3 linked regions of the Elephas maximus indicus genome follow. The protein of the gene in region 2 interacts with the protein of the main gene of each other region in a biochemical or structural test. Links are inferred from orthologs where the notes say so. Each region holds a gene or a part of one and is shown on either strand. Other genes may lie near its edges.

Evidence for each region.
Region 1: of the proteins of CCNB1 (region 2) and ZC3HC1, one has a biochemical effect on the other in vitro, tested with the Homo sapiens proteins (3 studies listed by BioGRID, with this or other methods). The link is inferred for Elephas maximus indicus from reciprocal best matches to the Homo sapiens genes CCNB1 and ZC3HC1.
Region 3: of the proteins of CCNB1 (region 2) and CDH1, one has a biochemical effect on the other in vitro, tested with the Homo sapiens proteins (3 studies listed by BioGRID). The link is inferred for Elephas maximus indicus from reciprocal best matches to the Homo sapiens genes CCNB1 and CDH1.

What each region holds. Positions count from the first base shown.
Region 1 is NC_064826.1:20,160,664-20,168,154, reverse strand, and holds the start of ZC3HC1 (zinc finger C3HC-type protein 1), read right to left. Parts: upstream 3,029-7,491; 5' UTR 2,983-3,028; coding exon 2,837-2,982; intron 1,203-2,836; coding exon 1,091-1,202; intron 1-1,090. UniProt on the Homo sapiens protein: Required for proper positioning of a substantial amount of TPR at the nuclear basket (NB) through interaction with TPR.
Region 2 is NC_064820.1:74,619,591-74,626,907, reverse strand, and holds the start of CCNB1 (G2/mitotic-specific cyclin-B1), read right to left. Parts: upstream 3,100-7,317; 5' UTR 2,920-3,099; coding exon 2,899-2,919; intron 2,268-2,898; coding exon 2,097-2,267; intron 2,007-2,096; coding exon 1,860-2,006; intron 1-1,859. UniProt on the Homo sapiens protein: Essential for the control of the cell cycle at the G2/M (mitosis) transition.
Region 3 is NC_064839.1:35,054,388-35,061,997, forward strand, and holds the start of CDH1 (cadherin-1), read left to right. Parts: upstream 1-4,591; 5' UTR 4,592-4,709; coding exon 4,710-4,757; intron 4,758-4,771; exon of another isoform or gene 4,772-5,552; coding exon 5,553-5,667; intron 5,668-7,610.

The sequences.
Region 1 (7,491 bases), on a different chromosome or scaffold from region 2:
TAAAAGGGCTCCCAGCAATCCCTGCCTGCTGCTATTCCCAGCCTTGTGTAATCCTCTCCTCTCTGAGTGTGGACTGGACGTGACTTGCTTCTAATGAACAGAATATGGTAAAAGTGATGGGATGTCACTTCTGAGATTAGATTACAGATTAGGTTCTGGCTTCTGTCTTACTCTATGGCTTGCTCTGATGAAGCCAATCACAGTGTTGTAAACTCTCCCCATGGAGAAGCCCAAGTAGCAAGGCACTGAAGGAGGCCTTCAGCCAACGATCAGCGTGGAAGTGAAACCCTCAGCCATGAGGAAATGAGTTCTGGCAGCAACCAAGCGAGCGAGCTTGGGAGTGGATCCTTCCCGAGGAAAATCTTCAGATGACTGCAGCACTGGCTGACACTTTGACTGCAGCCTATGACAGACCCTGAGCCCTATGGTTCAGCTAAGCCAAGCCTGGATTCCTGATCCACAGAAATTGTGAGATAATGTGTGTTGTTTTAAGCCACTAAGTTTTAGAGTAATTTTTTTTTTACACAGAATAGATAACTAATACACAAAGGAAAATCCAGAAAGACAAGAAATGTACACAGTTAAAAAAAAAAAAAAAACAACTATCAGGTTTGGGTACCAAGAGTCCTAGGATATAATCCTGGCTCTGCTATTTGTTAGTAGGTTGATCTTGGGCAAGTCGCATGACCTAACTGTCATCTCCCCTGTAAAATGAGGATAATGCTAATACCTATTTTCATAGGTTTAAGGTGAAGATCAAATGTCACAATATATGTGAAAACGCACTATATATGAAAGTTGTTATTTCTTCTCCTCTCAGGCTTTTAGGTTCTCCTTCTATAAAAATAAAGGTTAGATAATCTCAGATGTCACTTTGAGGGATAACATTTTATGATACTGATTTTTGGTAAAATTTTTTTTACCAAGTTTTGATTCTTAATTTTAAAACATCAGAGTAAGTGGTGTAATACCCTGGAGGAATAACAATTCCAGGAGCAGGCAGGAAGCTCAACTTAACGTGAAGTCAAAAAGGATATGGAACTCCACAACAACAACAACAAAAATAAATTGTAATTTAAAAAAAAGATATAGAAAATGTTTCCACTCTGCTAAAGAAGGCTTCTTTGCTTGTAGATTCCAACGGAGGTTGTTCTGCCTGGGGTGATCCATTAACTGACTGCAAGGTGACAGATGTGTCCTTCCTAAAGTAAAGTGACAGACAGAACTGTTAGTAGTAATCCTTTTATGGTACCACTCTGCCCAAGAATTTTTTATCTGGCTTCTCTCGACATTATACTATCAACCACATCAACAGTGGATCTTAACATTCCTGAAAATCTTTTTAGTTATGCTACTCCTCAGATTAATATTTTCTATGGTTTTATACTATTTGCTAAATAAAATTCAAATATTTCAGTATGGCATTCAAAACTGTTTACAGGTTGGCCATACCTAACTTTCCAGCAGTTCCTACCTCTGGAGTGCTCCACTAATCCTGTACTAACAAACTGTTCTCCTACCTCACTCTTCCCAACAGTGTTTTGCATAACTTTAGTAAACGCAAAATGAGACTCCAGGTGACAGTCATGCATTATACAATTTGTACTGCCTTAGATATCAACTCTTTTAACAGCAGAAAAAAACAATTTTCTTATTTCTACCTGAATCAGCCCCTGATACACACCCCTACCCTCCCGCCAAAAAAACCTCAAATCAGAGTAAACATCTTTAGGAGATTTCATGAAAGAATTTCAGAGAAAAAGATCAGCAAAACAATTTTCTCATTTCTAGTGAAAGACATTTCAATGGCAATGGGCTGGGGGGGGGGGAGGATGCTGAAAGACAAGAGTCATTTTAAGAAAAGCACATTAGACCAACACCTATTATATGCAAAAAAAACATATATATGTATTTTTTACTCTAAGAACCTTTCTCAGACTCAGAGAGAGCCTCAGGAAAGCGTGTGGTTCTTGGAAAAAAATCAAAGGATGCATAAATTTAAATGGGATTGTGGTGGTGCAATGGTTAAGAGCTTGGTTGCTAACCAAAAGGTCAGCAGTTCAAATCCACCAGCCGCTCCTTGGAAACCTCATGGGGCAGTTCTACTCTGTCTTATAGGGCCACTATGAGTCGGAATCCGCTCAACCGCAACTAGTTTAACTGAAATTTAGCATTCCTTTCAATTACGAATGAAAGTAAACGTCAGAAGTATTAGCAGGACCTATTAATTTGTCATCAATAGAAATCAGATTTTTCTCATCACATTATGGTTGCTGCGCATGTTTTAAAACAGCGTTTATGTGCATCACTACGAAATTATGGGAAATAACAGACGGGCTGGGTTAACAGACCGACTGGTAGGTATTACTTAATTTTTTAATAAAGAAGCATGTTACTGTAGCTCTTCTTTTACTGTCTTCATAACTGCATTCCAACGTCATTGACTTCCTTTAAAATTCTGTGTATCTTACTTTATGCCTTTAAAAAACATTCCGAGAAGGGGTTCATAAGCCTCACCAGAGTGCCAAAGGGGTCCGTGGCACAAAAAAAGGGTAAAGAACCCCTAAATAAGAGAAGTTAGGCGCGCACATTCAGTTAGCGGTTCTCTTTCTTTCTTTCTGTCCTCCAAATAACTGTCTATGGCAAAATTCCACCCCTCGTGCGGGGTCCGGTGGGGAGAAAAAAAAGCTAAGTGTAGCAACCCCAGTCCCTTTCCGATCCGGGAAAACGCCGTCCCAACGCCAGAGGCGCGGACCAGGGCGACCCCCGAGGCCTATGTTCCCCAATCTCTCTCCAACCTGCCGGCCCCAGTCCCAGAGTTGACTCGCGAACTCACGCATCCGCTCCTCCCTCTTCTGGGGCAATCCCCTCATCTATCAGCTGCCGGATTTTCTGGGGGGTCCCTTCGGGGGAGCGAACAACCGCACCCCAATTCTTTTCCACCCCCGCGACAAAAGTTAGCCCCTCGGTGGGCGCCGCCATCTTGGTCCGTTGCCGAGTTGCTTCCCCGCCGGTTTGAACGCTCAGGAACTTCCGTTCTCGACGGTTAAGATCCGCCTCTGACACGGTTGCCAACGCGAACCAGCAGTCTGACTGTAGACCCATCCCTTCCGTTTTAGAAGGGAGGGCTAAGTAAAGTACTACTTTCATGAACGAGCATATCTGGGCTGACAGCGGATTTATACAGCGATATGCTCCAAATTCAGATGGGATGAAGTCCAACTTTAAAGTAATTAATATTAATATTTAGTATTAACTAAAGTAATTCATTCCCAAATTACTTTTTTTTTTTTCAAACGAGTAAATACGAACCCTCGCTTGAGAGCAAAAAGAGTGGTTGCATTTAGAACCTGTGGCATTTGACACTATTGAACACTCCCTTTTTTGTTCTACAAATATCGAGTGTGTCCTGCTGTTGGTGCGGGAGCCCTGGTGGCTCAGTGGTTAAGAGTTATGTATGGCTGCTAACCAAAAGGTAGGAAGTTGGAATCTGCCAGCTGTTCCTTGGAAACCCTTTGGGGCAATTAATTTTTTTTTTTTTTATAGGGTTGTAGTGAGTCGGAATGACCCCACAGCAAAGGTTTTGGTTTAACTAATGTGCTAGACGCTGCACTGGGTGTTGGCAACGACAGCAGTGAACAAAGGATACATAGTTCTTAGTGGACATCAAGCAAATAGATTTTCCTTTGGTTTTTAAATTATGATTATGTAAGTGCTATGAAGAAGACTTAGTGACGGTATAATTGGAGGACCTAATTTAGTTTTTGGATTGAGAAAGTGGTGCCAGAGCCGAGATGGATGAGACTGCAGGGAAGACATCTGCACAGAATTTTCCAAAGCCTCAGGCTGGAAGGAGTTTGTCTCTCATAATCAACTGAAAAAGAAGACTGCTGGAACTGCGCAGTGTGCAAAAGGAAAAGTGGGACCACCTCCTGCCCTTCTTAGCCTCCTCCCGGTCTCCAACAAAGTTCCGACTCACCAGGACCTGTCATCTACTGACCGTACCACCTTACCACTGTCCCTAACACCACCCCCCAACCCTTTGTTTCTTCTTTCATCATAACCAGTTGTCATGGAGCTGGTTTTGACTCAGGGTGACCCCATGTGTGTCAGAGTGGAAATGTGCTCCTTAGGGTTTTCAATGGCTGATTTTTCAGAGGTATATTGCCAGACCTTTCTTCCAAGGCACCTCTCGGTGGACGCCGACCTCTGGATTAGCAGCCAAGCAAGTTAACTGTTTGCACCCCCTAGGGACTCTTCAGCCATCTTAAATTCATTACCAATTATTATCATCATTCCTTTGCAAAATCTGAATGTAGATTGAGAATTAATGTTAAGGAATTGTTACCCATATAGCTATCGGGCTAAAATTGGTACTATTAAAAACTTTACGTATTATTATCATTGTATCATCCATTCCCACTAATTAAGAAGCAGTTCTTCAGAATCTGCTTTGTGTAGTAAATATCTTAATTCATATTGTACTTTATTGTTTGCATCTATTTATCACAATTCTTTGTTGTTATTGTTAGATGCCAGCGAGTCAATTCCAACTCATAGCGACCCTATAGGACAGAGTAGAACTGCCCCATAAGGTTTCCTAAGCTGGTGGGTTTGAACTGCCAAACTTTTGGTGAGCAACTGAGGGTTTAATCACTGCACCACCAGGGCTCCTTCGCAACTCCAGAGGCGGTATATCAATTACAATTGTATTGGCTTCAGGTAACAAACCCAATTTAACCTAAGCAAGAAGGGGAATTTTGTAGATAGCATTTCTTAAAATTAAGTAATGTTCATTTCACCTTTTTATTTTCTTCATACTGTTTTAAAAGGGAAAATAAGCCCCCTCCTCAATGTTGACAAGTTTTTTTAAATCAATACATTACTTAAGTGCATAAAGTATTTGTCAACTCCTTGTGCTTATACCCCCCTCCCCCCCAGAAAAAAAAAAAAAAAAACCTAACCTGTTGCTGTCAAGTCAATTCTGACTCATAGCGACCCTATAGGCCAGAGTAGAACTGCCCCATAGGGTTTCCAAAGAGCCCCTGGTGAATTCAAACTGCCGACCTTTTGGTTGGCAGCTGTAGCTCTTAACTACTATGCCACCAGGGTTTCCCTTATGCTTGTAAAAATCTTAAAATCAGAACAAAAATTTTAAATCAAACAACTATAAACTCAAAGCAACTCACAATAACGACATTAATTTACTGTGATGAATGATACTGCTTTGCTGAAATAAAATCACCAATGTTGAAGAAAAGTAGAAAAATATAGCCTCAGTTCAGGTTCTCTGTTTAATCCACTTCTGTGATTTAACTTTCAGTAATATTAATGCACGCAGAAAATGCCTGTTTACATAAGCGTGCCGTACCAAAAACACAAAATGGTTTTAATAATTTCAACACCTTGTTTATTAGTTCAGGATTATTGGACCTAATACTTCACAAAAACTTTACCAGGAAGCATTTCTCTAATGTCATTTGATACCTTCATAAAACTGTCTTGTTCGCTTGCAGTTAAGTTAGTGTTATTTAAATCTGCATTAAGGGAGAATCTGAACAAATTATTGCTGCAATTGGGAACAGGAAGTAATATCTGGACTTTGAGTTCTATTATCAGAGATGTTGAAAAAATCTTATAGTTTGAGTGCAGAGCTTTCTAGCTGATTGTCAAAGGAAATCAGTACTCAGATGACTCATTCACACCATTTAGAAAATGATGGGCCGTTAGTCAGTTTTCTTTTCCAACTTCCACTTTTCATTGGGCTTGTAACATTAGAGGCACTGTGGAATTTGCTTTTGGACTGTCTGCTATGATGTCACGCAGCCTTCATCTGGTACAAGTTTGCCCCTTCTCATTAGCCTGCAACAATTAAAGTAATACATATATTACTCCATTGGAGTCTGTCATTTTCATGATGTCAACAAAAAACTAAAGTTATTAAATAATGTAAAAAAGCAAAGTTTAATTATACTCCAGTCTTTCAGTTATAAAGCACCACTACAAGAGTTTTGTCTTCATAATGGATGTTTATAAACCCATGTGGCTTATTGCCTAAACAATATTGCATTGAAATCAGAGCCTAAACAGGATTTCCAACCTTTAGTCATATTGCTCTCAAACACATACTATCGTGTGACTTGATAGACCTTCCCTGTAGCCGGCAGGAGATATTTGGGAGGAGGTCTTTTCCCTGAGGCTGCTGCATATAGGTAGGTTCACCCATGATGGTGGACAGACTTCAGTGCAGTAAAACTTGTGAAAGCCAGAACTCGTGTAAGGCAGAAACCTGTCAGAAAAGGAAAACTGAGATACTTTTTGATAAAAGCGATAGAAAAGTGGTAAGACTGCACCGTGAACGGCAGAAAACTTGAGACCCCTCGAAAAAAGGCAGTCTGGGAGAGTTCTGGCTCTCACAGATATCACTGTATAAATCCTCAACCCAAGTCACTGAAGCTGCAGTGATTTCTGAAAACATTAATCTGATTGTGTACCATCTCTGCTTAAACCCTTCAATGGCTCCTTGTTCTATTAGGATTCAATCTAAACTCCTCGATGAGGCTTACCTTTCCAGTCATCTCAAGCCCAATTGTTTAACTCCTTCCCCCCTCTACCAAACAATCTCCGTTTTACCTTTGTATAGCAAAAGCCCAGGGTTGTTTTTTCCAAACCCCAAAAGGAAATTAAGACCTTCACTTCCAAAGCGACACAAAAACATGGACGCTTTGAGATTAGCTTTTTTAGAGAGGGGATCGTGGGAGCAAACACAGTCCCTGGGTGGGCAGTTGGAACTCACCCAGCAGCACCTGGCAACCTGCTTTGGTAATGCAAACAGCCAAGAAAACCCCATGGTGCAGTTCTATTTTTTAACACATGGGGTCACCACGAACCATAATTCACTGGCAGCAGTGGGTTTGGTATGGGCTCGGGGAGCAAGGATTTGCCTTCAAAAATTCACCAGGTCTCCTACACAGCTTCTTCCCTCCTTCCGGGATTATTTTGAAGCAAATCCTAGACAGCATGAAATTTCATTTATGAACATTTCACTATACCTCTCGAAAAGAGAAGAATACCTTAAAAAAAAAAAAAGGCATCCACGATCCCTAAAAAAAAAATAATTCCTGAATATAATTCAATATTCAGTCCAATTTCTCATTAAAAAAAAAGGAGTTGGTACGTTCCAATCAAGGTGTCAATAAGGTCAAACATTGTATTTGGCTAGTATGTGTCTTGTTGTGTACCATCGAGTAGATTCAGAGTCAGTGACCCCTTGAGTCAAAATAGAACTGCCCCATAGGGTTTTTTAGGCTGTAATTTTTTTTTTTTTTTTAACTTTGTCTGAGCATATCGCCAGACCTTTCTCCTGGTGCAGCTGGGTGGTTATGAACTACCAACCTTTCTGTTTAGCAGCCAAGAGCTTAACAGGTTGCACCACCAACCTTCCTCACAATAAGTTTTTTTTTTTTTTTTTTTTACCAACGCTCCTCACAA
Region 2 (7,317 bases):
GACAAGAGCCAGTATGAGACTCTTAAGGAAACCTCAGGTACTCTGGCATGCTGAAAAGACTACGCATGCTACACGTTTCATGTTATGTCCCTAAGGTAAATACTAAAGCAATAGCCTCAAGTCTCTTACCCTTAGACATAAGAAGCTAAGGTGAATGACTTTTACAGATCAGTTTCCCAACTAGCTCTAGCTAAATTGAAAAAATTAGAGCCTCAGAATGCAGTTCATTAAACTTTCAGCAAAGCTTATTTAGATAGCCTTCCTTCCTTCACAGGGATAGATACATGTACATACCTGAAAAAAAGTTCTTGGTTTTTGAGGCTAAGTGTTTAATTATCTTCTTAGCTACTTTCTTTGAAGTGCTACATTTTATTTCTGCTTCACATCTGTATATATTCCAATGCTACAGGTTTATTTAGTGGCCACATTAGAGGTACCTAAAATTGGAGCAGGGTATATGCCTCCTCAAGTATATCACCAAGGCTGTCATTTTCTTCAGCAAAATGATACCATTCATCCAAGATATGATTTTTCTTTCGTAACAACATTTTGAATTTTAGGACATAAGAGTTGTTGAAAAAAGTCAAACCCTAAAAAGTTTCCTAAAGAACTTTCCAGAGGCACACCAGAACAGGAGTTACGATTCTGTTTAACTCTAGTATTAGTAATGTAGTGCTCTAATTAATGTCACACTAACATGGTATACCTACAGAAACTAGGTGACCAAAAAAAAAAAAAATTTTTTTTTTTTCAAGAGAACATTCTGTTTCAGACAATAAATTCTAGACAGAGAAGGCTTTAACTCGTAAGCAAAATCTTTGGCCCAACCAGCTACTACTTAATCCCATTAACAAAGGAGGGCAGTATAAAAGAGCAATTAAAAACATAGGCTCCTAAGAAATATCTAGAATAGACAAAGGCATAGAGACCAAAGTTTATTAATGGTCTTTTTTTTTTACTAGGGGTAGGAGGGAGAGGGAAGGGGAGTCAGGGGGAACTGAATTTCTCTTCAGGATGATGGAAAAATTTGTATATGGATAGTGGCAATGGTTGCACAACATGAAGAAAGTAACTAATGTCATTAAATTGTACATGTAAAAAATGTTGAAACAGCAAAGATTTTTTTTATTGTGCTTTAAGTGAAAGTTCACAAATCAAGTCAGTCTCTCATACAAAAATTTATATACACTTTCCTATATACTCCTAATTGCTCTCCCCCTAATGAGACAGCACACTCCTTCCCTCCACTCTCTTTTAGCGTCCACTTGGCCAGCTTCTGACCCCCTCCTGCCCTCTCATCTCCCCTCCAGACAGAAAATGCCAACATAGTCTCATCTGTCTACTTGATCCAAGAAGCTCATTCTTCACTAGTATCATTTTCTATCCAATTGTTCAATCCAATCCCTGTCTGAAGAGTTGGCTTTGGGAATGGTTCCTGTCTTGGGCTTACAGAAGGTCTGGGGACCATGACCACCAGGGTGCTTCTAGTCTCAGTCAGACCATTAAGTCTGGTCTTTTTAATGGCAAAGATTTTTTATATATACTTTTACTACACACATACAAAAAAAGTATAGGTTTCTAAAGCTAGACAGCCTGGGTTTGAATCCCATTTGTGCCACTTATTAGTAGTGTGATTTTGGAAAAGATACTTATAACCTCTGTAAGCCATTGTCTAAAAAAGTTGATGGAAGAGTAACTTCAGAGTGTATGTCAAGATTACATGAATTAATGCATGTTAACCTACCTCATGCTAAAAAAAGCATGCTAAGCACTAAATAAATGTTACTATTACTACTATGTATTCAAATGAGGGGAGAGAAACAACCAAGAGACTCTAAAACAGGTAAGAATGAGTTTACCAAAATAGGCTCAGGCGAAAGCTTTTCTTCCTTAACAGGCTCACGTTCTAGCTCAGGCTCTGGCTCAGGCTCATGCAAAGGTGTCTTGTCCAGTGGTTTGGGCAGTTTTTTGGCAATAACTTTTCCAGCAGCTGAAGTTTTTGCTTCCTGTAGATGGAAGGGAGAGAATGGAATGTTTCTCTGTCAAGAGCCACAGGTGAACTCTTAAAAGAGAAGTTGGGTCAGGAAGATAGTTACCTTTTTCAGGGGCATTTTGGCTTGTGGCTGTTCACTGACTTTGTTACCAATGTCTCCAAGAGCTATTCTTGGCCTCAGCCCGGGCTTGGGGGCTGCAGCAGTGGCCATAGGCACTCGCTTGGCGCCTGCCATACTGGTTTTCGGCTTAAGTTCAGCATTAATTCTCGTGTTCTGCAAGAAGGAAGACCATTTTAGAGTTTAGCCAGGCTGGAGTAAGTCAAAAGTTAATTAAGGTGGGGCACAAGAGAGGCTCTCGGGAGGAAAGCCGGCTGGAAATGGGCTCGGAGGGGAAACCTGGGCACCAGGGTCTACTCGATGTCTGTGGCAAGCCATTTCCCTTCCTGAATCTCTTCATTTACTTGAATTGAACTTCGGTGAAGGCCCAGCTAGCTCTAAAATGCTGTCAATTTACATTCAAAAGAAACGAAAGCCTCCAATTGCTGGCACCTTCCTTCTAGGACGGAGATTACACGGTTGGTGGGGGCTCACCCTGGGGCTCTACCTCGTCTTAAAAAGAAAAAAGGTTTCCTATCGACCCTCCCCCCTCTCTAAACACTTATCCAAGGCCCTTTCAGTTCTTTTTGTCACTTTTCCGTCCGTCTGCCTTTCCTTCCCCAACCCCCGCCCCGACCCACTATGTAAGGAGTTCACCTCGGCACACACCGGGCGACACCTCCCCCCCCATCCTCTTCCCCAAATCGCCACCCGGGTCATCTCCGGTCGGGAGGTTCTGCAGACGAAAAAGGGCGACAGGGCACGCAGCAAGGAAGGTCGCGTTTGTTCTCGGTTCGCAGCAACTCACCCTGGTGACTCGAAGTGCCATGGCTTCCTCTTCACCAGGCAGCAATTCACAGGGAGGAAAGAGAACTCGGGAGCCCCAGACAAGCCAGGGCCAAAAGCTACCACCAAGCAACAGCCGTTCCTGCGCAGCAAGCCGGGAGGAGCCGGGTCGGCTTCGGGTTTAAACCCCGCATCGCTCCCTCCTTATTGGCTTGTTCGTGGCACTCACTCCCCTCTCATTGGCGGGTGCAGGTTCCTCCGGTAATGCGTTTCCAAGGGCGATCCCGCGACGACGTTCGAAAAGGAGGCGGGGCCACAGCGAGGCTGCGGCCCAAGGGCGCGGGGCCGAGGCCTCACGTGGTGTAGCGCCGCGGCATCTGCCACCTGGAAGGGCGAGCGGTGTGCTCCACTGAGCCAGGCAAGGAGAAGGCCTGGTGGTCTCCGAAAAGTGACGGTGGAGTGGGCCGCAGTTTTGGAAGCGTGAAAGGCAGCTGCGGCTCTATTCCTACTTATTGTTACACACTTTCCACTTCTACGTTGGTATGTAGCAGCAATGTCTTACAGTTCATGAAGGGCTTTAATATTTAATATGCATTCTTTCATTTGATCATTCCAGTTAGCCCTCCAGAGTGGAGGAACTGAAGCTCAGAGAGGCTTAGGTGACTTTCCGAGTAACACAAATTAGCCATGCGGGGACTGAACTCACGTTTTTTGGATTCGTGATTTTTGCACAGCATTGTCCCTTAAGAATAATGGCAGTTTCTTAACCTGCCAAAAAGCCAAATTATTTCCCAAAGCCAATTCTTTTTAGATTTTACTTGGAAATAATTTCGAACTTAGAAGAGTTGCAGACATAAAAAATTACAGCTAACACTCGTATATCTTTTACCCAGATTCAACTATCGTTAACATTTTACCCCATTAGCTTTGATTTTTCTCAGTCTTTTTTTCTCTGTAAAGATATATTTTATAAACATATATATTTAATTATATAAACCAAAAAACCAAACCCAGTGCCGTCGAGTCGATTCCAACTCATAGTGACCCTTATAGGACAGAGTAGAACTGCCCCATAAAGTTCCAAGGAGCGCCTGGTGGATTCGAACTGCCAACCCTTTGGTTAGCAGCCGTAACACTTAACCACTACACCACCGGGGTTTCCATTTAATTATATATGTATTTATATATACAGTAGATACATACGTATGTGCGTATATTATATGTATAGGCCCTGGTGTCTGCGTTAAACGTTTGGCTGCTAACCAAAAAGTTGGCAGTTTGAATTCACCAACCACTCCTTGGGAACCCTGTAGGGCAGTTCTGCTCTGTCCTGTAGGGTAACTATGAGTTGAAATCCACTGGATGGCAACAGATTTTTTTTTTTAGTATATGTGTGTGTGTGTGTATATATATATTCGCGGAGGCAGAAATAAACATGTATATAATTTGAGGGCAATGGGTTTAGTTTCTTTTTTTAGTGCAACTTAATATATGTTTCATTTCCCCCCTCCCCCCATCTGAAACATTTGAGGGTGGGTTATATACATCATGATCCTTTACCCCTAAATTCTTCAGTGAGTATTTTCTAAGAAATTTGCATTATTTTAATATTTAATTCACTCTAGTTTGTATTCCAGTTGACCTAATAATGTTCGTAAAGCATTTCCCTGATGCAGTACAGGATCTCGTCTAGGATCAGATGTTGGATTTAGTTATCCCATCTCTTTGGCCCCCTTTCATCTGGAGTAGTTCCCAGTGCTTTGATCTTTTATGACATGAACATTTTTTAAATATGCAGTACCCCTCACTTTTTCTTTTTATTAAATAGCACCTTCTCATTTTTGTGTCTGATGGTTCCTTGTGATTTAAATTGGGGTTGGTCATAGAATGCATAGGTGATTTTTTTTTTTTTTAGATGATGTTAATTTTGATCACTTGGTCAAAATTGGTGGTCTCTCCACTATATTATTACTGTAGATTTTTTTCTCCTTTGGAACTAATTAAGTGTTTGTGGGGAGACACTTTAAGATCATGCAAAATACTCTTTCACTTTCTGCCTAGATTTCACAACCATTGGTATATCTTGCCTGATCCCATCTTTATCATGATGACTGCAAAATGACTATTTTCCAACTCCAGCAGTCTCGCCAAATTTACCATTTAGCCCTCAGCATTCAACTGTGAGAAGCCTCCCTTCTCCCTTATTTATTTATTTGTATAGTAATTAGTTATTCTGGATTCATGAATTGATTTTTTCAATGGCTTATAATTTATTATTGTACTCAGGGGCAGATGACCCAGTAAGCAGGGTAAGCACAAGCTTACTTGTACTCACTTACTAATCTGTAGTGAACAATTTCACATGGGTTCACATGTAGTGAAATTGTTCACTACAACGTGCTTACCTTGCTTACTGGGTTATCTGCCCCTAGCCAGGGATTGTACATTAGACAAGAAGCTTTGATTCTGTAGGAAGGGACTGTGGGCTTGGGAGAGAGACAGATGCTGGCTATACCTAGAAGCAGAATCTTTGATGTGATGAAAAAATATAAATTGTTCACTACAGATGATCTGGTAAGCAAAGTAAGCACCATGCTTACCTTGCCTATTGGATAATCTGCCCTTACCCTGAAATGTCCTTTGAAATTAATGTACCCTGGAACAGACAGACAGCACAGCACAGTGATAGTGACAAGAACTTACAACTTGTGTCAGAGAAGCACAAGTCCTCAGAAATGGGAACTTCAACAGATGACTTCTAGAAAGACATTTATTTGGTCTTGGGGGCCTTGGGCTTACCTAGATGTGTCTTTAGGTTGTAGGGGGAATCCTTTCTGTGGCTGTTTTACATTAAAGGTGGAGATTGATTGCCAGGTTTGAAGTAGGTAATTATACTCCAGCCCTTCTTGAGGGAAGCTCTTTCAGTTCTACAGAGAGCAACCTTTTCAGTTGGTCACAAAATCTCTTTTAATTTTCAAAAGTGTTTTTTTTTCTTTTATGCTGCCTTGTACCATGCTTCTGGGTCATTTTAAGAAAAGCAAAAATGGATCCTTCACTACAGGAAGGACTAATATTCGTAACAATTATGTTGTGTGTTTATTTCTGACAAGTCTTTTTGATATTGCTTTCCCCAAATTCAGTCCCCATATTTGGAATTATGAAATGGTTAAGATGTCTTTTACACTAAAATGTCTTTGGGATTTCCAGGGTTTCCTTTGTATTTCCAGGTAAATACAAATAATAACTCCTTTATCTTATAAAAGAAGTAATAAAAATAAATAGATTTGTTTGGCATTCTTTAGATTTTGATTACCTCAAAACTTGTTTGAGAGCTCTTCTATTTATCAGACCCAGGATATAAAAACAATGGACAAATCAAAAGATTACATATTTTTATATCTATATATCTACATGGCTACATATCTATATATGTATTTCTAGGAGCCAGTGGTTAAGCACTTGGCTCTAACTTAAAGGTTTGAACCCACCAGCCGCTCTTTGGGAGAAGAGACCTGGTGATGTGCTTCCATAAAGATTTCAGCCTAGGAAACCCTATGGGGCAATTCTGCTCTGTCCTATAGGGTCGCTGTGAGTTGGTATCAACTGAACACATTTTGTTACTAATATGTTTCAGTGAATATATACTTTGAGGTTGAGAAGAAGCATACTCATACTGATTTATAAAAATTGATATATTATCAATTGATTTGTTTTAAGGAAAATTTTTGTTTCCAAGATTAAATAATTTTGTCAATTGACGATAATCATAATATACTTTGTGGTGCAAATTAAAGGAACTAAAGATTTGTCAATGCTGTCATTGTTGGTCCACGATATGTTTTTATTCCACGGTGACTATTGACAAAGTTGTTATAAATCATTATGTATTATACTTGAACAGAGGAGCCTACCTTCGTCCATTCTAGTATTGTTGTAATAAATTAACCAGAGCCCATTACAGTTCATTTTCCTTTTTTTTTCCACTTTTTTATTATGGTGAAAGTATATATAACAAAACATTTGCCAATTCAACAATTTTTATATGTACAATTCAGTGACATTAATTACGTTCATCATGTAGTGCAACCATTACCACTGTCCTTCTCCAGATTATTCCAGTACCATTAGCGGAAACTCAGTGCCCTCTGTCTTAGTCACCTAGTGCTGCTATAACAGAAATACCACAAGTGGATGGCTTTAACAAAGAGAAATTTATTTTCTCCCAGCCTAGTAGGCTAGAAGTCCAAATTCAGGGCGTCAGCTCCAGGGGAAGGGTTTCTCTGTCAGCTCTGGAAGAAGGTCCTTGTCATCAATCTTTCCCTGGACTAGGAGCTTCTCCATGCAGAAACCCTGGGTCCAAAAGATGTACTCTGCTCCTGTCACTGCTTTCTTGGTGGTATGAGATCCCCAACCCTGTGGTTGCTTTCTTTTCCTTTTATCT
Region 3 (7,610 bases), on a different chromosome or scaffold from region 2:
TATCTTTTTCTATAAGCTTTTAGTAAACAGAAAATTTGTTGGACCAGTGAAGACCCTCATGACTGTCCATACTGAAACCTGTACCAATGATTAAGAAAGACAATTCAAAATGTAGGATCACAGTTTCTTGCCAATCTGTGAAAAGGTGAAGCATTCAAAGTCTTTGCCCACTTGTAATGTTAATATACACTGAAGTTTCCTTGGACTCGGGTGGACATGGCTCTGGTAGCATGCTTGTCCGTTTTCCCATTCTTGCTTATTCTGTAGTATTTCCTTGGAGTCCAGCTGACATGGCTGTAGCAGCATGCTTGTCCATTTTCCTTCTTTTGTCTATTCTGTAATTTTCTTGGATTCAGGCAGACATGGTTCTGGCAGCATGCTTGTCCATTTCCCACTTTTGCCTTTTTTGAATATATGCCAAATAAAAGTTTCTTTTTGCTTTGTGATGTTTCATACCTTAATCATTATGTAAAAAAAAAAAAGAAAGTCTTTCTCAGAGATGTATATGAAATATTTTCAGGGGAAATGACAGGTACCCTGGGATTTTGCTTTAAAATCTGCAAAAATTAAAAAAGCAGGGTTGGTGAAATGAGACAAGTTTTGGTATAATCAGAAAGTTTACAAGTTACAAAAATTAAAAAAAAAAATGATTCTTGAAGCTGGGTAATGGGGCTTCATTATACTATATACAGTATACATTATACTATTTACTTTTGTTATATTTGAAATAAAAATGTTTACTGCATTACTGTGTGGCTGGGCTGCAAAGTTACCAGCATTATAACAGCAGGCTGTAGCAAGGGTGTCTAGTTCCCTTCTGCGTGCTGGTGGTTAGCCTGGCAAGACTGGGAGGGGTGTCAGAAGCCCCCAGGAACAGCTAAGAATGGAGCCTGCTCTCCCAACTCTGTTGCGAAGGCTGGCCTGGCTGTAATCCCTAGCAGTTCAAATTTCCCTGGGGATTCATCCCCAGCCAGCTGGGGGCTGGGCTCCTCTCAGCAGAGGCCAAGGGAGGTCGCCCCTCCCAGTCTGAGCACCATTATTACTACCTGGTAGGCCAGGCCACACGGAGATGAAAGGGACAGGCTTGCCTTGGGAACTAATCACTAGCCTCTCTGCAGGGCCCGGACACCCAGGAAATGAAAATCCGCCAGAGACACACACTGCAGTGAGGAAGGCTGGGGTTTATCACCTACCTGGAGAGATCTCAAGGGAACAGTGGAGGCCTCTAGTCAACATTCCTTTTTTCTGTCAAAGCCTGTAATTCCACATTAGCACTCAGAGATTCCAAGCTTTAGATTTGGATTTGTTCTCCCCCAGCCGTGAGGCTAATGAAAGTTATGGGTCTTGCTACCTGCACCTACAGGTTTGCACACAATCTCCAGTTATTCACAGACCCCCCTAGAAACCCATTCAAGACACCAGATTAACAGAGTTTAGTAGAGCCAAAAGCTTTCATTCATTTGAAAGAAGCAAGGTCATTCTTTAGAACCTTCTTTAAAATGCAAATGACCCTGGGAGGGTCAAAATGACCAGCCATCCAGCCTAAAAAGAATTTCCCCCAGCAGATACAAAAGATAGCCTAAGAGGTTTTAATGGCTGGGGTGGAGGAGGTATGGGTGGGTGGGTGTAGAAGAGCCTAGGTGTGGGGAACTCTCAAGGGGCCTCACAATTTTCCCTAGAATCTAGAAGGAAATGTATTGGGCAAAGATGCTAATAGCTAACTTTTACAGAGTGCTTATAATAACCTTGTGAATTATGCTCCAACAACATTCCCGTTTTAGGGATGAGGAAGCCTAGACTTTGAAAGATAAAATGGCTTATCCAATCTAGCTAGTGGCAAAGCCAGAACTTGAATCTTCCCTACAAAAGTTGGAAACCCTGGTGGTTAAGAGCCACAGCTGCTAACCAAAAGGTCAGCAGTTTGGATTCACCAGGCACTCCTGGGGAACCGTGTGGGGCAGTTCTACTCTGTCCTATAGGGTCGCTATGAGTTGGAATCTACTTCACGGCAGTGGGTTTGGGTTTTTGGTTTGGTACAAATTTTGGCAGTTGGAACCCACCCCACGGCACAGCGGAAGATTACAGCCAAGAAAACTATGGAGCTCAGTTCTACTCTGTAACACACAGGGTGGTCACGAGCCTGAATTGGCAACAGGCTTGGTTTTCTGGTCTGGCCAACCTGAGACCCAAGGCTACTCACATCATAACTCGTTGGCTCACCTACCCTGGCTCATTTGATCTTAACATGGAGTTAATTAATATGCTTCTTTGATACAAGGGGAAGCTGAGGCAATTCACTGTGTTGCCAAAAGTCACAAATCACCCCACCTCCACAGGGAACCGCTTTGTGTTCCCTCCTTACCCTGGACAGCTGAAGGGGACCGCCCATCGGGACTCACTCCCTGGAGCTTCAAAGACCTGCCGAGAAGTCTGAAGTGTGCATCATCCCAACCTGTCCTCGCTGCTCTTAATTGTTTTCTAAAATCTTTTTTATTGAATTATCAGAGTGTAATGGAAGAGTCAATGAGAGTCACTTCAGAATTATAAGGCCAGGGCTTGCGGGGAAGAAGAAAGCAAAGCCCTAAAGGCTCCCTGGGCTGAGCGATGGTATAAAATATATATTTTTACATAACTGGGAGAAGAAAAAAAAAAAAAACCACAAAGTGGCAAGGCTGCCCCATGGGGGAAACGCCTGTTTCTGTATTTCCATTATCTTGTTTAATGCACAGTCCAGCAGGAGCCTCAGTGGGAAAGGAAACACCGAAGGCTTCTCCTCCAAGCCTCCTGGCAGGTAAAAAGGCAGAGAGCCAAGATGTAGATATCCAAATGGCCTGGGTGTGTGCTCAGAAACCCATTAAAACAGAGGGGACCAAGGGTGGCCTGGGCAGACTGGAAATGGTGCCACTCCTCTGGAGTTCTCGGAGAACTACCCTCAATAGGTTTAGATTCACCTTTCGCTCTGGGTGAAATACAGTATTCCAAATGTGGCCTTCCCAGTGAGGAAGGGAAAGAGGGGAGTGACCCTTGCTAGAGAACAACCTCCACATCAAACATTTATTGAGCAGTTACTATTATGTGCCAAGTACTCTGCTTAGAGATTTTCTTATATTAACTCATTTCAATCCATTTATACAAATAAGAAGGGAGCCCTGGTGGCGCAGTGGCTATGGGCTCGGTGGCTAACTGAAAGGTGGGCAGTTCAAACCCACAAGTGGCTACGAAGGAGAAAGATCTGGCAGTTTGCTTCCGTAAAGATGACAGCCTTGGAAACCCTATAAGGCAGTTCTACCCTGTCCTGTAGGGTTTGTTATGAGTTAGAATCAACTTGATGGCCAAAGGTTTGGATATATAGATGAGAACACTGCCTGGGCCAAGGTCACACAGCCAGTGAGCAGTTGGTGGGATGGGGGAGCCAAACTGCACAGACATGGCTGGCCATAGGAAAGGGAAGGTGTCTGACCTAATGTTTGCCTGGCTATTCTTTTCTTGATCTTAAAATCATTTTACTGGGGACAGATGCTTCAGAGAAGGCTGTGGTGGTGGGTTTGGTGTGGCTTTAAGAACCCCAGTTGGGGATCAGGAGATCTTGGGTTCTAGTCTCAGCTTTGACATTGACTTGCCGTGTGATGTTGAGCAAGTTGCTTGCAAATAACAGGTTTGGGTGAACTCTAAAAGGTCTTTTCCATGTCAAAATTAAAGGACAGATTGAAACCTGCAGCTCCAGCTGGAAGACTTGGGGGGTGGGAGAGGGTGGGAAGCCACACGAGGTGAAGCATAATAGTTAAAAGCAAGGGCCCTGGAATCAGAGGGAGGTAGGTGCCAGTTCTCTGCCACTGCCTATTGGCCTCAATCTCTTTAAGCCTCGTTTGCCCCATCTATCAAATGGGAACAATGATACAGCACTTGGTTTGTATTGAGATGAGATTAAGTGAATGGTCAATTCAAATGCTCAGCACAGAGCCTGGGACAGTAACATTCAGTGCCCAGCACCTAGTGCTAGTATTATTACCCCTCACACCTGTACAGAGCTTTTATGGTGCAGGAAACATTGGCCTTATTAATTGTATGGGAACCCCACAACAACACAGTCAGGTGTTTGTACTTATTATTTCCATTTGGATGGTGTAGAAGGTGAGGCTTCAGGTGAGAGGTGGTCCTGACCCTGTGAATCAATCCGATGACTCACTAATCGATGGAGATCTGCAGTTAAAAAGACATAACTAGGTCATTTTACTGTGGACAGAATTCTCCAGATAGTGGTTGGTGGTGGCTGTGGTGTGCCTTTAAGAACCCAAGGGGTCCTTTCTGACCCCTGTCTTAGCCCTGGTAGGGCTAGGATTTGAACCCAGTGAGAATCGGAATCATGCAGCCCCAACGCTCCACCTAGGCCCTACAAACCTCTCCTCAGCTTATCACCGGGTCGTTTCGGGGCCGCAGGGCGGGGCCGTGGGCGAGCCGCCCGCCCCCCGCCCTGCGGAGGAAGCTGCGGGCCGAGCCACGCCGCCTATAGGCTGCGGCCAGGGCAGGTGCATCCTCAGCCAATCAGTGGCGCTGGGGGCGGCACCCTCGGGACTCACCTGGTGGCCGCAGCGCTGCTCTGCTCAGTGGCGTCCGGAGTCCAAGAGCACCTGTGAGTTCACGGAAGTCTTGCCAGGCTCTAGCCCGGCCCAACCAGACCCCCGCCTCCCTCAGCCCCGGTCCGGGCCGCCATGGGCCCTCGGTGCTGCAGCCTCTTCGCACTCCTGCTGCTGCTACAGGTACGTCGGCTCACCTGACTTCAGAGAAAGCATTCTGGCCCCACGCTCCGCGCCTCGGCTCTGCGTCCCCTCTTCTCTCGCACTGTCCCCGCTCCTCCTTCAGAGAAAGTTTGGGTCCGAAGGGCGAGAACGGCCTGGAAGCTGCGGCGCGCTCCCCTGAGTGGGAGGGGTAAAGCGGCGCGCGGCTGAGCCCGCCCCCGGCCGCAAATACCCGAGTGGGGGGCGCACCTCGCCGTAGGCTCGGGGGGCTCTGTGTTGGTCGAGGTGTGGACTTGGACCGGGCAGTGGGGACGTGGAGTCAGTCGGGAAAGGGAAGCCCCGTTGTCAGTACAGGAGAAGCCAGTAGTGGGAACGAAGTGAGGAAAAGGGCTTCCATAGAAATCAAGACACCTCCCATGTAAGTAGAAATGGGGGCGTCCCCGGGATAGGGAAAGTGAGGTCCGAAGGGGTTGGGCAGCCCCTCTGTGAGGAATTAGATTAAGGCGGGGGCGTTTCGGTATGAGAAAACGGAATCGTGAACTGTAAAGACACTACCAGTGAAATGAAAAAGAAGACAGAAAGGAAAGGGGGGCTTAGTCATGAGGAGGTGACCCAGAAGCTCCCTCCCGCGAAGTTCCTTGGGGGGCTTGGCGGCTGCGGGTTTCGAGGTGGCAGAGGGTGACGCCGCTGTCTTCTGGGGTAGTGGGGCGTTCCTCCCTCAGTCCCGATGCCGCAAGCGAGGGAGGATTTCAGTGTGAGCAGGAGGCAACCCTCCCCCCCAAGTCACCCCGGTTACATACCTTTCCCTCACTGCAGGTTTCGGCGTGGCTCTGTGAGGAGCCGGAGCCCTGCCGTCCTGGCTTTGGGGCGGAGAGCTACGTGTTCACGGTTACCCGGCGGCACTTGGAGAGAGGTCACGTCCTGGGCAGAGGTGAGGGCACGCCGCCCGTGGGGGGACGGAGAAATTGCATACCTACGCCTTGGCTCTCCTGGGCGAACCCCCCTCTTGGCTCAAAAGATATCCTTTTGAATGTGCACAGATTTAAGGATTTAAACTTTTACTAAGTGTTTGAAGGACGACGCCCTGTCTGTTTACCTATGTTGTAAAAGGGGGAAGGCACTAATAAGAGCCTTCAGTGTGTCTTAAGTCCTGGGCACTTTAGAGAAAGGTGGGCAATATTCCCGTTTTACAGATGAACAAACCGAAGCTCGGGGGGGAGGGTGCAGTTCACTTGCCCAGGGTCAGGGGAACAGATACTGGAACTAGGATCTGATTCCCACGCATAGTTCTGCAACCATCTCTGTGGTGACTGTGGAACCTTTTTGGTTGCCAGGGCTGTGGCTTTTGCTCTGGGGATGAGAACATTTTGATACAGGTGCTATTCCCCTATGAAATAATGGTATTTAAAAAAAGTTTGTTAGCTCTGACTCAGGGGATGAAAATGCATACAAACGCCCAGTGTACTTCTAGGCTTTATCATTGTGATCACCTGGATTCTGGAGTTTGTTTCACTTCACTGTTGCCCAGGGGCAGGATAGAGGGAAGGGGTTGGTTTCTCCTCTGATTTCCCTGTTTCTGTTGCTTGCTTATCATCAGTGGACTTTCTCCTCCCTCATGATATTGGTTGATTGGGCGAATATCATAACAATGAAGGAAGCACTTTTTAAAAAGAGAAATCACCCACAGTTCCCCTGAGGCATCACTGAGTTTATTCCTCCAGTCTTTGGCCACGTGAAGAACCTGCAGCAATCACACTGCTGTCTTAAAGATTTTTTTTTGAACTTTGGAAGTTGTTCTAACAGTGGGCAGCCTTTTCCCCAGAGAAACTGCCGTTTGATTGATTAAACATATTTGCTTTTCGGAGGCCTTTCTCTGTTGTTTAGAGCTTCCTGTTGGGTCAGAAAGGACACATCTGCCTGATGTTGCAGACGGTCGGCCGTTACTCAGGCAGTCTCTATTTAATGTTTTGTCCAGCCTTGGGCTGGGCACCAGGGAACACGTTAAGAGATGTGGGGACAGGATGCTCCAACCCTGTCCTCAGTATTTCACATTCTAGCTGATTGTTGAGAATGTCTCAGGGCCCCTTTACCAGAGGGCACCATGGTGCCTGGGCAATGAGGTGCGAAAGGGCGAAGATATTTTGGTGGACAGTGAAGACTGACTTTTGGGAGGAATAAAGCCTGACCTGGCCTTAAGAGTCAGGTAGGGCTTAGAAAAGGCAGTGAGTATGTTACGTGTGTATATATGAGGTGTGTCAACACAGGTGCTGGCCAGTTTGCTTTCATGCACCAGGACAGTTGAGTATATTTGGTTAGTCCCAAGCGTGTGTTATCAAAAACCAAACCTGACTCATAGCAACCCTATATAAGAGAGTAAAACTGCCCCCTAGGGTTTCCAAGGCTGTAATCTAGGAGCAGCTGATGGGGTTGAACCATTGACCTTTCAGTTAACAGCCAAGAGCTTAACCACTGCACCACCAGGGCTCCAAGGGTGGGTTAGTCTGATTTTTATTTTCCCCTTCTAAGCACATGGCATCTGACCAGTAATATTATGTATCCCTAACAACATAATTATTATAATTAATAGCAGTCTCTTTATTACTCGCTTTTGAACCAGATTCTGGAGTAAGTGCTTCACATATTGTATCTTATTTAAATTCACAACAATTTATGAGGGTAGGCACAATGATTATTTCTTTTTTGTGGTAACTGAAGCACAGACAGGTTCAGTTATCTGCTCAAGGATCCAAACTGGTCTTTTTCCTCCTCTTCCCCTCTTCTTTCTCTTCAATATTCAAAAAAAAAAAAAAAAAGATGATGATGTTTGGGGAATTTGTGGCTTTTGTGAAGTAGACTACATTCTCCCTGTGGGCC